2 linked regions of the Arabidopsis thaliana genome follow. The protein of the gene in region 2 interacts with the protein of the main gene of each other region in a pairwise test. Each region holds a gene or a part of one and is shown on either strand. Other genes may lie near its edges.

What was found.
Region 1: the proteins of AT1G57790 (region 2) and SK4 interact in a two-hybrid assay, tested with the Arabidopsis thaliana proteins (2 studies listed by BioGRID).

What each region holds. Positions count from the first base shown.
Region 1 is NC_003070.9:6,982,981-6,990,531, forward strand, and holds SK4 (SKP1-like 4), read left to right. Parts: upstream 1-3,331; 5' UTR 3,332-3,449; coding exon 3,450-3,767; intron 3,768-3,925; coding exon 3,926-4,099; 3' UTR 4,100-4,351; downstream 4,352-7,551. Other genes in the region: AT1G20132 (GDSL-like Lipase/Acylhydrolase superfamily protein), read left to right, coding at 1-233, 322-515; AT1G20135 (GDSL-like Lipase/Acylhydrolase family protein), read left to right, coding at 1,144-1,384, 1,517-1,647, 1,736-1,972, 2,054-2,303, 2,391-2,518; AT1G20150 (Subtilisin-like serine endopeptidase family protein), read right to left, coding at 4,352-4,947, 5,027-5,237, 5,324-5,438, 5,550-5,792, 5,871-5,971, 6,041-6,554, 6,637-6,754, 6,851-7,116 and 1 more. UniProt on the Arabidopsis thaliana protein: Involved in ubiquitination and subsequent proteasomal degradation of target proteins. Together with CUL1, RBX1 and a F-box protein, it forms a SCF E3 ubiquitin ligase complex. The functional specificity of this complex depends on the type of F-box protein.
Region 2 is NC_003070.9:21,402,552-21,409,849, forward strand, and holds AT1G57790 (F-box family protein), read right to left. Parts: upstream 3,406-7,298; 5' UTR 3,324-3,405; intron 3,093-3,323; 5' UTR 3,086-3,092; coding exon 2,027-3,085; 3' UTR 1,791-2,026; downstream 1-1,790. Other genes in the region: AT1G57780 (heavy-metal-associated domain-containing protein), read left to right, coding at 449-534, 647-735, 854-1,073, 1,195-1,277, 1,361-1,677; VIM5 (zinc finger (C3HC4-type RING finger) family protein), read right to left, coding at 6,196-6,390, 6,476-6,690, 6,794-6,941, 7,017-7,119, 7,204-7,268.

The sequences.
Region 1 (7,551 bases), about 14 Mb from region 2:
ACAAATAGCAGTTCTAGGAACACCACCACTTGGCTGCGTACCAATACTAAGAACTCTAAAAGGAGGTCTTCGTAGAGAGTGTGCTCAAGATATAAACTATGCTTCTCAGCTTTTCAACGTCAAACTCTCCAACATTTTGGACCAATTGGCAAAAAACCTACCAAATTCCAATCTCATTTACATTGACATATACTCTGCTTTCAGTCACATCTTAGAAAATTCAGCAGATTATGGTAATATTAGAACGTGAATATTTAATTCTTATAAGTACTAAACTATACAAGCTCATGTATATATAACTTGAGTTGAGAATTAATGCAGGGTTTGAAGAAATAAAGAGAGGTTGTTGTGGAACTGGATTTGTGGAAGCTGGTCCACTTTGCAATCGATTCACAACATTTGTGTGCTCCAATGTATCTGCTTACATGTTTTGGGATAGTCTCCATCCTACCCAAAGATTCTATAAAATCTTAACCAAAATACTTTTTGAGAAATACATCCACAATTTAAATTGAGTAGTGTGATCAAATGACTCACATTGTATGCTTTTATTTTTCTTAAAGCTTGTGCAGTTGTTATAAATTGTACAAAATTATTGTAAGTCACTATATTGATTACCAATTGATTTTAAGAGAAACTTTTATCACTCTTCACATGCTTTCAAAGATCAAATCCATATCAATCAGTTCATTTGATCGACAGCTATTCTGTTTATGTAATGATTATCTTTTTCTTTTTAGGTCATGATGATGTAATAATATTATAGCTCTCTGAAGTAAAGTAATCAACTAGATAACATGAAATATAACCAAATTATATGATTTAATCTGCACATTGTTGTGGGGGTAAATCAGTCAAATAATTGAATAAGACTGAGTGGTAAGACTTGATTTGCTGGATTGGCTAAATATATATTATCAGTCCAGTGATACAGGGAAGAGTGTTGTTCTTTAACCACAAAAACAAACAAGTTTCATACCATTATTCAAGGGACTCGATGAACTCTCTCAACCCTTCTTCACCTTTGTATAAAGTATGACGATAAAGTAAACAAATTCTTTAAAAAAAAAGAAAAACTAAATTGAAACTAAAATTCGAAACAAAAAAAAATACTAACAAAATAAAACCTAAAATTTATTTGAGATGGAAAATGCAAACATCAAAGTTCTAGTAGTATTATTGTCTATATGGATTTCATGTGTTCAAGCTCAAACTGGAACATTTTCAGCAGTTCTTGCATTTGGAGATTCGATTCTCGATACTGGTAACAACAATTTGCTCATGACAGTATCAAGAGGCAATTTTTTGCCATATGGACGCGATTTTCCTCATCGTATTCCTACAGGAAGATTCGGGAATGGAAGAGTTCTATCAGATTTAGTTGGTACTAATTGTTCTCTATACAACATATATATATAAGACCAATTTTCTCTTTCACATTCTTTAACCTAATGAGTAATCAAATAGTTCGAGAATCATTCTATAATGAAAATGTACATGGTATATATGTATGTAGCCAGCGGTTTAGGGGTAAAAGATCTTTTACCTGCTTTCCGGAGCCCATTTCTTAAAAATAGTGAACTCGCTACCGGCGTTTGTTTTGCATCCGGTGGTTCAGGGTTAGACAAATTCACTGCATCTATACAGGTAAATCTACTTGTTATGTACTTCTTACTTTCAATAAGATAAAGTAATATATGTTCTTACTCATTTACTATATGTGCAAACTATATAGGGGGTTATATGGGTACAAGATCAGGTGAGTGACTTTCAAAGATACTTAGAAAAGTTAAACCAACAAGTTGGAGATGCAGCTAAAGTCAAAGAGATTATAGCCAATGCTGTGATTCTAGTGTCTGCTGGTAATAACGATCTTGCCATCACATATTTTTCAACTCCGAAGAGACAAACGAGATACACTGTCCAAGCATACACTGATATGCTCATCGGTTGGAAAACTACCTTCATAAATGTATACAACACACATTTATTTATAACTTTTTTTCTTCATAATATTGTTCTACCTATAATGATTATTTTGTATGAATAACAGAGTCTATATGATCTAGGAGCTAGAAAATTTGCAATTCTTGGAACGTTACCGTTAGGGTGTTTGCCAGGGGCGAGACAAATTACCGGAAATTTGATATGTCTTCCGAATGTAAACTATGGTGCTAGAGTTTATAATGACAAAGTAGCTAACTTGGTCAATCAGTACAACCAAAGGCTTCCCAATGGCAAATTCGTCTACATCGATATGTATAACTCACTTCTTGAGGTCATCAATAATCCTAGCCAATACGGTAAAACATTGAGTAACACACGCAAATTTTGAATATATATGGTAGAAAAAACAAGGGTGCTAATTTCTACATTGTAATACATTTCAGGGTTTACGACGGCAAAACCATGTTGTTGCTCGGTGATGACTCCGATTCCGTGTTTAAGATCTGGTAGTCACGTGTTCTGGGACTTTGCCCATCCTTCTGAAAAAGCCTATAAAACTGTTCTACCTTAGATCCTCAGTACCATCCAAAGCAACCTCGCCTAGTCACTAATTTTCTCTTTCTTTTTTATATTTAGACATGAGAACCATGAACCTTGGTTTGAATATGATTAGTTCCTCGATCGACGATGAGCCGCTTGTAGGTCTCTATTGTTAAGCTTGATTTATGTGTTCTCATCAATTAATCAGAATCAGTGATAATTTCATTTGCAATAATTTTGGTGCTTCTTAGTTTACCAAACCAGAAAAGTTATGTGTTTGGAAAAGAAGAAAAAAATACTAGAAGAAGATAAAAGATTTCCATCCAACACAAATACAAAGATCAACAAATGAGAGAAATACAACACAAATAAATATGTTATTAATTTTGGTTTGTTTAGTGTAACGCAATATTTTTCCCAAAAATTGTGGTGTTTGTTACCTACTTTTTACATTTTCCTTGATATTCACTACAAAATACCCAAATAATAATTCATAATTTCACATAGATTTTTACATACAAACGTGGAGGTTTTCTTTGATTAAAACATAAAAACCCTAGTCAATGATTTTTGCACACGTAGATAAACTGTATTTTCTGAAATCAGATGTAAATCTGAAAAAGTAAATATTATTAACGGAATACAGCTAAGGTGAAGTTTGTGGAAAAGTAAAAATATTTACTTTATTTAAAACAACATAAATTTTCCATTTTTTAAAAACTTAAATTTCCAATATTTGTTTTACTTTTTACTGTTCTCCTATTAGTAAAAGGAGTAGATTAACTTAAAAGCAATAAGCCGGCAAAAAAAAAAAAACTTAAAAGCAATAAACCGACTTGAATACCAATTAAGAAATTGGCTATAAATAAGGCTCCAACTTCCCAAACCTTGACACCATCACAACAATCAATCGCAGCGCCGATTCTCCTTCAAAAACTTTTCCTAAGTCGTCACTTTTTACGATGGCAGAAACGAAGAAGATGATCATCCTTAAGAGCTCCGACGGTGAATCCTTCGAGATCGAGGAAGCCGTCGCTGTTAAGTCCCAGACGATTAAGCACATGATTGAGGACGACTGTGCCGATAACGGAATTCCACTTCCCAATGTCACCGGAGCCATCCTCGCCAAGGTTATTGAGTATTGCAAGAAGCACGTTGAAGCCGCTGCTGAAGCTGGTGGAGACAAGGATTTCTATGGTTCCGCTGAGAACGACGAGCTTAAGAATTGGGACAGCGAATTCGTCAAAGTCGATCAGCCTACTCTCTTCGATCTCATCTTGGTTAGTAAAGTCGCTTTCATTGTTTAGGTTTGATGTTGTTAGAATTAGGGTTTTTAATTTGGGGATTTAGGTTTGATTTTGCAGGATTCTGTTAGGGTTTTAGTGTGTTGAATGTCGTTTTGATTTGACTAATCGTTTTGGTTCTTTGGTTTGTACAGGCTGCGAACTATTTGAACATCGGTGGACTTCTTGACCTTACGTGCAAGGCCGTGGCTGATCAGATGAGAGGCAAAACTCCAGAGCAGATGCGTGCACACTTCAACATCAAGAACGATTACACACCTGAGGAAGAGGCGGAGGTTCGCAATGAGAACAAGTGGGCGTTCGAGTGATTGGATCGGATCTGAAGGGTGTTTAGGAATCTCTAGTCTTTCTATTTAGATGTGTTTAGCTTTCAAGATTTCGGATTGTTTTTTTTTTCTTTCTTTTTCTCTTCGATTGGAGTTGTCCTTGTCGATGAAAACCTAATGCTTTGTTCTACTAACAACATCTATTGGTTTTTATGAGAAATATTTGAGAGAAAGTGTTGGTCTTGCTTAATCTTTTTGCTCTTTATACATGAATGTGTTCTCTTTAGATTATCGTTAACGTTCGCTATCGTTGTCGTCTTTGCTGGTTACAACGAATGGACTTCTCACATTGTACATTCCGTTAGACCATGTTATAGATCCAAACGCATCGTCCTTGAGTATTGTTGTAGTAGATGAAAAGATCACTTGGTAGCTGAGTTTATCTCCTATCTTCCTGAAGTGTAGCCTTCTTGGTATAACTCTGACTAGTAATCCTTCTGGTGCATCGATACTCACAGTGTAGACTGTATCTTCATCTCCAATGAGGCGTGATGCTACATTTGTCACTGTTCTGCTTACCCTTCTGCTTTCTTTTCCATTGAAGTTAGAAATCGAGATTGATGGGTAGTTGATGTTAGATATGTCTCCCCTGTTGCTTTGTTCAGGACAAGCAAAACCTTGTGGTATGCGGTTTGATATCTTTTTGATCTGATCAGATGTAAATCCATAGTAGCCGAGGAAGTTTAGGTAGTCCATGTGATTGGTTTCATAAATCAGTCCTGGTGATGAAGGTCCAAATATAGTAACCTGCCCAGCACCAAAGTCATAAGGTGTGGCCTTTTCTCCTGTTTCTGTAGTTATATGGGAACCTGTGTTGGTCATTTGCACGGCTGCAGATACAGTTGACTTGGGTTAACTCTAGCTGATCAATCATCCGTAACTGGTATCTACTTGATTTTGATTTCTCACCTGTTGTCATGATGGCAGATCTGATTGCTGCAGGACTCCATGAAGGGTATCTGGATTTGAGACGAGCAGCAATCCCGGAGACATGGGGACATGACATTGAAGTCCCTGATTCAATGTTGAAGAGTGGCGGTGGCTTGCCTTCTGGTGCTGCATTTCTGTCACCGACTAACCACGATGCTAGTATGTTGACCCCTGGTGCTGCAATATCAGGCTGTAACAGGTTTATCAATATTTTGTTTTTGAAGTTTCTGTGAATACTGTTGAGATCATGTTTATGATGAATATTAGGGCTTATACCTTGAGGATGCTTCTGGTAAGCAAGTAAGGACCTCTTGATGAGAAGGATGGTATGGATGGAGCTAACATGTGTCCTGTTCGTGATCTTGTAGGCATGATTGTTGCAATTGGTTCTCTACAATATGGATTATGATATATTAGTTCTGTTTTTTTTTTTTTTTTGGGTAAAAATATTATTATTAGTTCTGTTTGAAAGCAATGTCTTGTGAAATGAGACATCTTAAACCTTGTTGAATTTATGTAGGACATGATTTGTATGCCGTCCTCTGGTTTTATTATTGTCACTAGAAAGGAGGGATCAATAAAAGACAGATCCATTGACTCGTCATCAACAAGTACCATACCGATACCTCCAAGTCTCTTAACCTCGTCGCTTTTCCACTGGATCACCTGGTTATCAAGATCACTGTCACACACAACAATCTTTCCCTTAACAATGGTTTGGTCTAGTGTATCAGGTGCGCAGTTCCTGAAGGTTTGCAGTTGTGTTGTCTTGTTAGTATAGGTATAGCAAAGTTACTCTATAATTTTACGAGGCAACTATTACCTAGCAGCTTCCTCATTAGCATCAATCTTCTTGGCTGATCGTGCGTGTATAAGTGGGTAAGCCTGTGTTTTATCGATATTGGCAATATTTATTCCAAAACCCTGCAAAAGAAATTCTTTAAGATGTTATGTGAATGGAGATTTGTCCGTTGATTGGCTTTTCCTTCTTACCTCGATTAATCTGTTTTCATCTCCTCCCAGAAGAATGTTGGACTCAAAGCCACGGTCAATAGTGCTGGCAGCAACAGTGATCATCCATGGAGCAGCATTAAACACACTTTGACTCGATGGGCCAGAATTTCCTACAGAGCAAACAACAGTGATCCCTCTTTCCACGGCATGAAATGACCCGATGGAAAGCGGATCTTCAAGTAAATTGTCTGGCCATAAGCCCATTGATATGGATATAACATCAACCCCATCTGCGATTGCATCATCAAATGCAGCTAGTATGCTCGAGCCACGACATCCCAGGAGTGAGCACGCTCTGTACATAGCTATTCTTGAACTTGGTGAACCTCCTCTCATGATTCCACTTGCCAGGCCATAGTAGGACGCATTTGCTATTATTTGCCCTGCTGCTATTGATGCCACATGTGTCCCGTGCCCCAAAAAGTCTCGTGGTGTCTCATAATCGGGGTCTAAGAAGAATGACGAATTGTAATACCTTGCTCCTATCAGTTTCCTGTTTATCCAAGTTTGAGGTGGTAAATTCAAACATATATCGGATCTCTACATGTGTTCTACTTTCCTCAGTCTCAGCTTACCTATTGCAACGGAAAGAATCAGGTTGTGTCTTCTTCCCTCTCATGCAAGTGCCCTTCCATTTCTCTGGGACTGGACCCATGTGCCTGTCGTTAAAGCTCTGCGCCTCGGGCCATATTCCTGTTTTCTCCATCAGGATATGCTGCATTGAGTATTTGTTTTACTGGAAGTAGATAAAAAGCGCATATAAATATTTCATCACTTCATACTGCTCACCTGAATCAAGGAAGCCGATAATGGTGTCTCCTTCATGCATTTCGGATTCTTGTTCATAGTTCATTTCGGTGAAGTAAGTATCTCTTTGATAACTTTCTTGCACCAAGAAATCCCATGAACGTGTGGTGTGGAGCTGTAACATCTGGTCAGGGAAGACAGATAGTACTCCCGGTTGCTTGGCTATGAGATGAGCTTCATCTTCTGATAAATGGGCTGCGAATCCAGAGAATCCATGTTTGTATCTGTGCATGGGGGTTTTGCCGCTCCTGATGCAAGTAAGATACTGTCTTAATATTTTCATAACATGAATCAATGGTTAGAAAATCTAAAGAGTTCTGGAGTTAGATATCACCGTTGTAACAATGAGCTCAGAAGTTCAACATGGTCATTGTCTGTTGAGCCATCAGAGGATGCTGCTCCCATGTATATGATATAATCTCCAGATTTACTTGTTTCAGACTTACACTTTTGGATCACAGACAGAAAAAAAAACATAAAGAACATGATGGTGATAGTGAGGCATCTCATCATCGCTGAACTTCTTGAAACAAAACAAGATTACTTCCCGTTTGCCTCTAACTTTTGCCTTATAAAAGTTCTATGAGTATATCGTAATAGTCTCTATCACTAACATACATAAGAATTGTTAGGGTTAGCTTTTAAGCCCTGCTATTATAATGGAGGAGTGAAGATAGTTCGTT
Region 2 (7,298 bases):
TTAATGTATATTGTTAGTCTAGATACACAATGGTCTTAATTTTAATGATATCCAATACTTTAAGTTCACATGTGTCTTTAGTGTTCATATATGATATGGGATGATTACTTTTATAAAACACAAAATGAAATGGAGGAAAATACTAATTGAGAAAAAAATATTTCTTAAATACTAATTACAAAATTTGGATACATTAAATATAAAGATAAGAATTATGATTTTGAAAAAGTATAATAAGATATGTATTAATTAATTTTTTGTGTAAATGTTTATATAAAATAGGCTATATGCTAATTTATATAATTTGATTAGTCATGTTCAATGTATGAAAACTCTCTTCTATATATGCACATGTGTGTAAATATAGTTTTAAGTGTTAGAGATCAAAAGAGATTTTAAGCGAAAAGATTCTTAAACACTTAATTTTTGTCTTCGGAATTTAACTATGATGGGTTGTTGGTTAAAGCAGCCACAAGGAATCACAACTATGATGGGTTGTTGGTTAACGAAATCAAGAGAAAACATTCTCGACAAGTAGATTACTTAAATCTCTACATATCTATGTATTTTACATAAAACTTTTGTGTGTTTTATATATTTCTCTTACACTGATACTTTTTTTTTTTTCTCTTCAAATTTTCTCTAGTGTAATTGTAACAGATGCCAAGTTGAAGATTTCGATGAATTTTGAAGATTGCGCGAAAAAGATCAGAAAAGTTGCTTGCCAATTCGAAGGTAAGAAAATCAGAAAATTTTATTTACAATACATATATTTATTCACAATACAGATTTTGTATAATGTAACTACATAGTATCTACGTTTTTCTAAGTTGTACAATGTTGTTATTAGGAGTTAAATCATGCATAACGGATATAGATGATCAAAAAGTCCTGGTCAGTGGTGATTTCAATTTGCATAAATTGGTGAAGACTCTCAAGAAAAAAACTGGTAAAAAGATAGAAATTGTGACGAAGAATGAGAAATCTAGTGAAGATAAGGTAGATGATACAGTTCAAAATGAAGATAGTAAAGATGAAATAGTTCCACAAAATGCTGATAAACCTGAAACAAGGTAATTAATATTTACTAAGAAAATAGCAACAATATTTTAACTACTTGTTTAAGATACTACATGTGTTTTTTTCTTTTGTTAACCATATTGTATTAACTATTCTTAATATGATGTTTTGTAGTATAATGGAAGTGGAGTTCGATATACCATTTCTCTGCGAGAAATACGAGAAAGATTTTGGAAAAGTTATTTCCAAATGCACAGGTATAATATCTGTTTTATCAATTTCATATAATATATAATGTGTGATTTATTTTAATAAAATTGTCTGAATTATGTATGATTAGGTGTTGAAACATATGTAGTGGATCTAGAAAATAAAAAGGTTGTGGTCATTGGAAACTTTGATAAGGATGAACTGTCGAGAAAACTTAATAAGAAGATGCATCAAAAGATTAAAAAAGCTGAAAAGGAAAGACAGGAGTGGGAATCTGAAATGATGTTAAGGGAGGCTGAAGAAGAAAAAAGACTTGCAGATATTTATGAAGAAATCGACAAGGATAGAAATGTATCTCTCAACCCAATTACTGATTATGAAAAGGAGATGGCCAAACATTATTACATGTTTAGTGATGAAAATCCTAATGCATGTTCTATTTCGTAACATAGTCGAAACAAGTGTCCACAATGAAAAATACAACATGCTAATGGACCTTATGCATTTTGTGATATACTTTAATGTCTCATTCACCAAAAGTATTATGTAAGTTGGACAAAATAAAAGTATGATTTCATTTTAATCTTTTTATTATAAAGCTATATCCCATGAAAATCTTGAAGTGTGAGAGAAATTTTGTTTTTATCGAATAAGGAACAAGAGGAGCTTGGAGCTTAGACAGTGAGCAAAAAATTGACATAACAATAACAATAGCAACAAAAGAACATATTAGTGGAGCTAAGTCATCATCTCTAAGATGTGCCAAGTTCAAACACCAAACATTGCAAAAATACTTTTAAACTAGCTCAAAAGCGTTCTTGGGAGGCTCGATCCAAATGTTATCAGATGAAAGCTGTTTTCCCCAATCAAGATCATGCTCTCGCAGGTGGTACCTCCCTTCATCAAACGAATACACCACACTTTGTTTCTCATTGTAACACAACTCAGGGAAGTATACACTATTCCTTAACATCCCATCCTTAACATATGTTCTCGATTCACATGACTTCCTACTCACAAAAATAGTTAAACTACCGAGTGTATCCTTCTCCTCCCAAATACCTCGAGTAAGATCGAGTTTAAACACCAAAGGGTCCTTATTTTCATATGTACGAATCACAAGTATGTCACCTTTATAACCTACCATGAACTTTCCTTCATTCCAACTCTTATCATCGGGACATCTAGGTGGCGGTACATCAAGAACATTCCATGTACGTAAAGACGGATCAAAAACCGCAACGTGGTTTCTTTGGTTAAGACAGTAAAACACGCCATTTGAGAAAACAACATTGTTATGATCAACATCAAGGAATTGAGACTCAACCTGCATTGAAGTCCACATCGTTTGACCCGGACTCCAAGTACGGATAGTGACATGGCCTGGATCATAATCCTTGATAGTAAACACCACACACTCACTAGATGTAGGAGCAGAAGAGAAACCCACTAACTGATAATAAGTGAACAAGTGAAGAAAAGGCAAGGCTACAACATCCATAGTAAATGGATTGAACAAGACAAAGTGTGATGAATCTTCTTGGCTCATAAGTAACCATCCATCTTTCGAGTAACGAACAATAAAGCCAACTAACGATTTAGGCAGCTCCATTGTATACTTCTTGCAGTTCGATGGATCGTAAAAGTCGTAAGTGTTCTTGGTTTCAGGGAAGTACATGAGCCAAGGAGATTTGTCAATGACCCTAACTGAAACTGCGGCTTCGAACCACGATTTGCATACAACAGAAGCTCTTACGTTATCTTTGATTTCAAGAAAAGTCATTACTGAACTCAGAAGCTCTAAAGGAAGATCCTTCCACAGGTTCTTGGACCCTTCATTGGTATTCACGCTCATGATGGATCTGAGAATAGTTCATAAAACAAGATCGAAAATTGAATAATCAGATTATGAAAAGACAAAACTTTGATTGATTTTGGTTCATATCAGGCTAAGTGTATATCATTGAATTCAAGAATTCAGAATTGGGCAACAAATACGAAATTCAGATTGTTACTCAGATCAGATAGATGGAAATGCAAAACATCAAAATTGAAGCAAAAAGAGATAGAGATTAGAGGGAAAGAAAACTTACGATCTCAACTTCACTGTTCTTCTGATTGAAAGGTGAAGAGACGAGACAACTGGATGTATAAGTGATGAGTGATTACTATTATAATAACCAGAATAAAATAAAATGTTAAATATGTAGTTAAATACATGAAATACCCTTAAAATGAAAATAGTTAAAATATTAAATAAGAAAAAAATATAGAATTGTCTTCCATATTAGTTGATGATTTTTTCTTATTTATTTCTATCTTTCAACTCTTTTCTTTTTTGGAATCAGATTTCATTTTTTTTCTCAGTTATCTATTATTTTTAAAATTTGGTATTTAGTTTATGACTAACAAATTTTGTTTCTCACAAAATAATATACAAAACATCTAATTATTTTAAAAATATAATTAATGAAGATTTTACCATATTTTATTTATATATAATTTCCATAATCTAAGATTATATTTTGAAAAACTTGTCCCGTAAATAGTAGGGACATTATCTAATTTTGTATATAGTAGGGGATAATTCGGGATACCACATTTAATTTGACAATTGAGTTAATTTCATTTATAGTTTTGTTAGTATGGGAAATAATTATGTAATTTTGTATCTGACATTGTAAAAGAAACATGAACGGTACTATCTCGAGATATGTTTTGTTCGTATGCAGACAGAAAAGGTATTTTCAGTAAGAATATAAAAAGCAATAACTTGGAGGTTGTAGTAACCAATATCAAAGTTTTTATTATGAATATAGATTGTGTTGTATTATTAATGATTACAAGAGCTCTTTTATATACACGTTTCTACAGAGTACTTATAGAGAAAGATATTATTCTATACGAGATATTAACGAGAGTGATTGGAGGAGTAATCAAAGGAATTGATATATATGATTCTCCTTAATAGTTTTTACAAAGGTAAATTATGCTTTAGACGCTTTTTGAGAACAAGACATTGTAATTGTCTCTGTATTGATAGTTCATAGCAGAATAATTCATGACCAGAAACGAAGAAATGTAGTATCTTTCTTTTCTCATAATCAGCTCTTTTTCAATGCTCATTGACCTACTTCATCGTATTATTAGACAACAATAAAGCATATTTGAAATCATCTGAAGGGAAGGAAAAATAGTGAGCAGAAAAGTCTTAAAAGTCTTAAAATAGTGAGCAGAAAAGTCTTAAAATCATTTGATGATCTTCTGGTCATCATATTAAAAAGAGAATTAAAGGTAGAGCAAAAGCTGTATTTACTATTTAGCTTCCACTTTCATCTACGTTCAGTGTTTTTTTTTTTTAGGAGCCAAAATGTTATGTAATCAACAATCTCGTGCCAAGATGCTTATGTAATTTTTTTGTCGATCACATTATTTATAACTATATATTGATTCTAAGAATATAGTGATTTCATAGAAAGATGAGAATAGCTTACCAATTCCAAGATGGGTGTTAAAACTTTCATACCAGTTGATTCAGTAAACATTAACCCTCACAAGTAAATTGATTATTTCTCCCATGAAATCTTGAAGTTGTTCATCCGAGGTTTGGACATATTTGGATCATCCAAAAAACATGTTTCATGATGGAGCATAAGCCATGGCATGGACCAGCTGCAGAACGGATGGCTGAAGCTAGGGTTGTAAAATTTCAATGATCAGAATTCAGAAATTGCAGAATTTTGATGGAGATCCTGAGAACTCTTTCCTCCTTATATAAGGCCAAAAAATTCTATGAAGAATATGGATAGTCTTGTTTAAGGCGTTACAAAGAAAAACTCTAGAAGAAGGTCGATTCGGTTATAAAATATTAAGAGAGATATTATTGACTCCATGTGGCCAATAATTTATTTTTTTCATATGGTAGTGTGGCTTGTTAAGAGAGTGTTTTAACAAAACTTATGTAGATTGCTTGAAAAGCCTAACTTAACATTTATTGACCTAACAATTTATGATCATTTTCCTCCTCTACAGATAAATAGGTTCTTCATTATCTATCAGTGTTCTTCATTATAAATCAGTGCTATGTTTGTTGGTGTATAATGAAGAACACTGATATATAATGGGGGATTTCATCAGATTAATTGCTGATTCAAACTACTGCTCCTATGCTCTTTTTTTGGTTTAAAGGACACTGCTCCTATGCTTTTTCGGCGGCGCAATGGTATTAACAATGGTGCTATCGTCCACTATCTTAACTTGCAATTTTTTTAGGCATTTGCATCAAACAGAATTTTCACTTTGAAAAAAAAATAGTATTGGGTTTTAAAAATGTTACAGAATTAAATGCTAGTTTGTCTTTTAAGTTTGAAATCTTCTTACTTATTACTGTTTTAGGCTTCTTTCTTTTTTTTTGGGGGGGGGGGGGGGGGGGGGGTAGCAGACTGTTTAAAAGGTTTTAGATGATCTTTAACTAAACCGATTTGTTATTATCAGAATGTTTAGAAACAAACTAGCCCACATAAGTAATAAAACCAAAACAAAACATATCAAACCAAAAAAAATATCAGTATTCATCCGACATCCGAGTTCTAAACCAATATATAAACCAGAAAAATCAAAATCCTAAATAAGGAAAATAAAAAGAAAAAAAAATCAAACCAGAAAACCATTTTTTCATCAACGATACCAATTTATTAGAAGAATAAAATAAACTGAAATTATAAATCCAAACAAATCTCTAGAAACAGAGAAATGCTTGAAATAACATAACAACAAAACAAAGCTTGAAAACCAAGCAACGTTCAATATTCAGTTGCAGCAAAATAACAGATAGGAATAAGTACGTTCCACAAATGTTGCGTACTAAATAAGGTAAGAGAGTTTTTCCAGTCTTTGGTACCAAAACATAAACATAGTCTCCAAGTTTACTTGTCCAAAAGAGCCATTGGAAAGGCCCCTACTTACTTACTTCATGTCAGATTCCACAACAGTCGCAGAAACTTCTGCGTCAGTGTCCAACTTAATCCGTTTCTTTGGTTGCTCATCATCTTCTTCTTCATGGCTGGTACCTGAGCATTGACCTTCATCTAAAGACTTTGCGTTTTCCTCCTCTTCCTGTTTCTTCAGCTTCTCTATCACCTCCGCTACTTCTCTATTGACCTGTTTACACACATTTCACCAAAGAGATTATTCCTCAGTTTCACTTAGAATCCAAAAGAAGACATATATGATGATGATGTTTCACCTGAGGGTTCTGGACAAACTCGGCAATGTCCGTTGGGCAACAAGGGCACTTCATGACACTCTTTTGTGAACGTAATTTTCGTCCACCGCTGCCTCTCTCTCTCACTAGAGCTGTCCCAGCAAACTTCGATTCCAAACAAGCCTTGCAGAAGTTATGAGCACAAGGCGTTGTCACAGGATTAGTCATCACTTTCTGACAGATCTGGCACTTAAATTCTGCATCATCAAAATCCCAATGACAGTTGAGATACTAAAATAAACATTTTGGAAACATAACTTCTTGATACTATAAACATTTTAACTTCTTGGACACACTGACCTTTCAAAAGTCTTGCCCTCATGGTATTCGGGTTTGCCGACTTTATGGCTTCCCTCAAAAGTTTCCTCTCCTCAGGATCCAAAACATTTTTAACTGCCTTTTTACTAGCAGGTGGTGGCTTCATCCATCTCCAACGATCCTCACCTTCCTGATCGAGTAAGCATATAATAAGTGGGTACGTACAACTACAAATAAAGAAATGTTAGATGTCTTTGGAACTTACATCAAAATCCCATGATGGACTTTCTTTTCTCTCAAACAGGTCTGTGGCCATATTAAGCTCAGGAACATTAGGCAAAGGTCTTGGGCGATCTCCATGCTCATCACTGCAATATAATATCACATCATTAAACAATACAAATGGTATATACATATATAAAAGGCGCACGATGTCACGAAGTAGATCAAACCTGGTCCATGGAGCTGGCTCATTGTCACATCTAACAAACAGGAAACGGCACATCTTATGAGTGCCCTATATATGGAACACCATAGAAGAATGTGT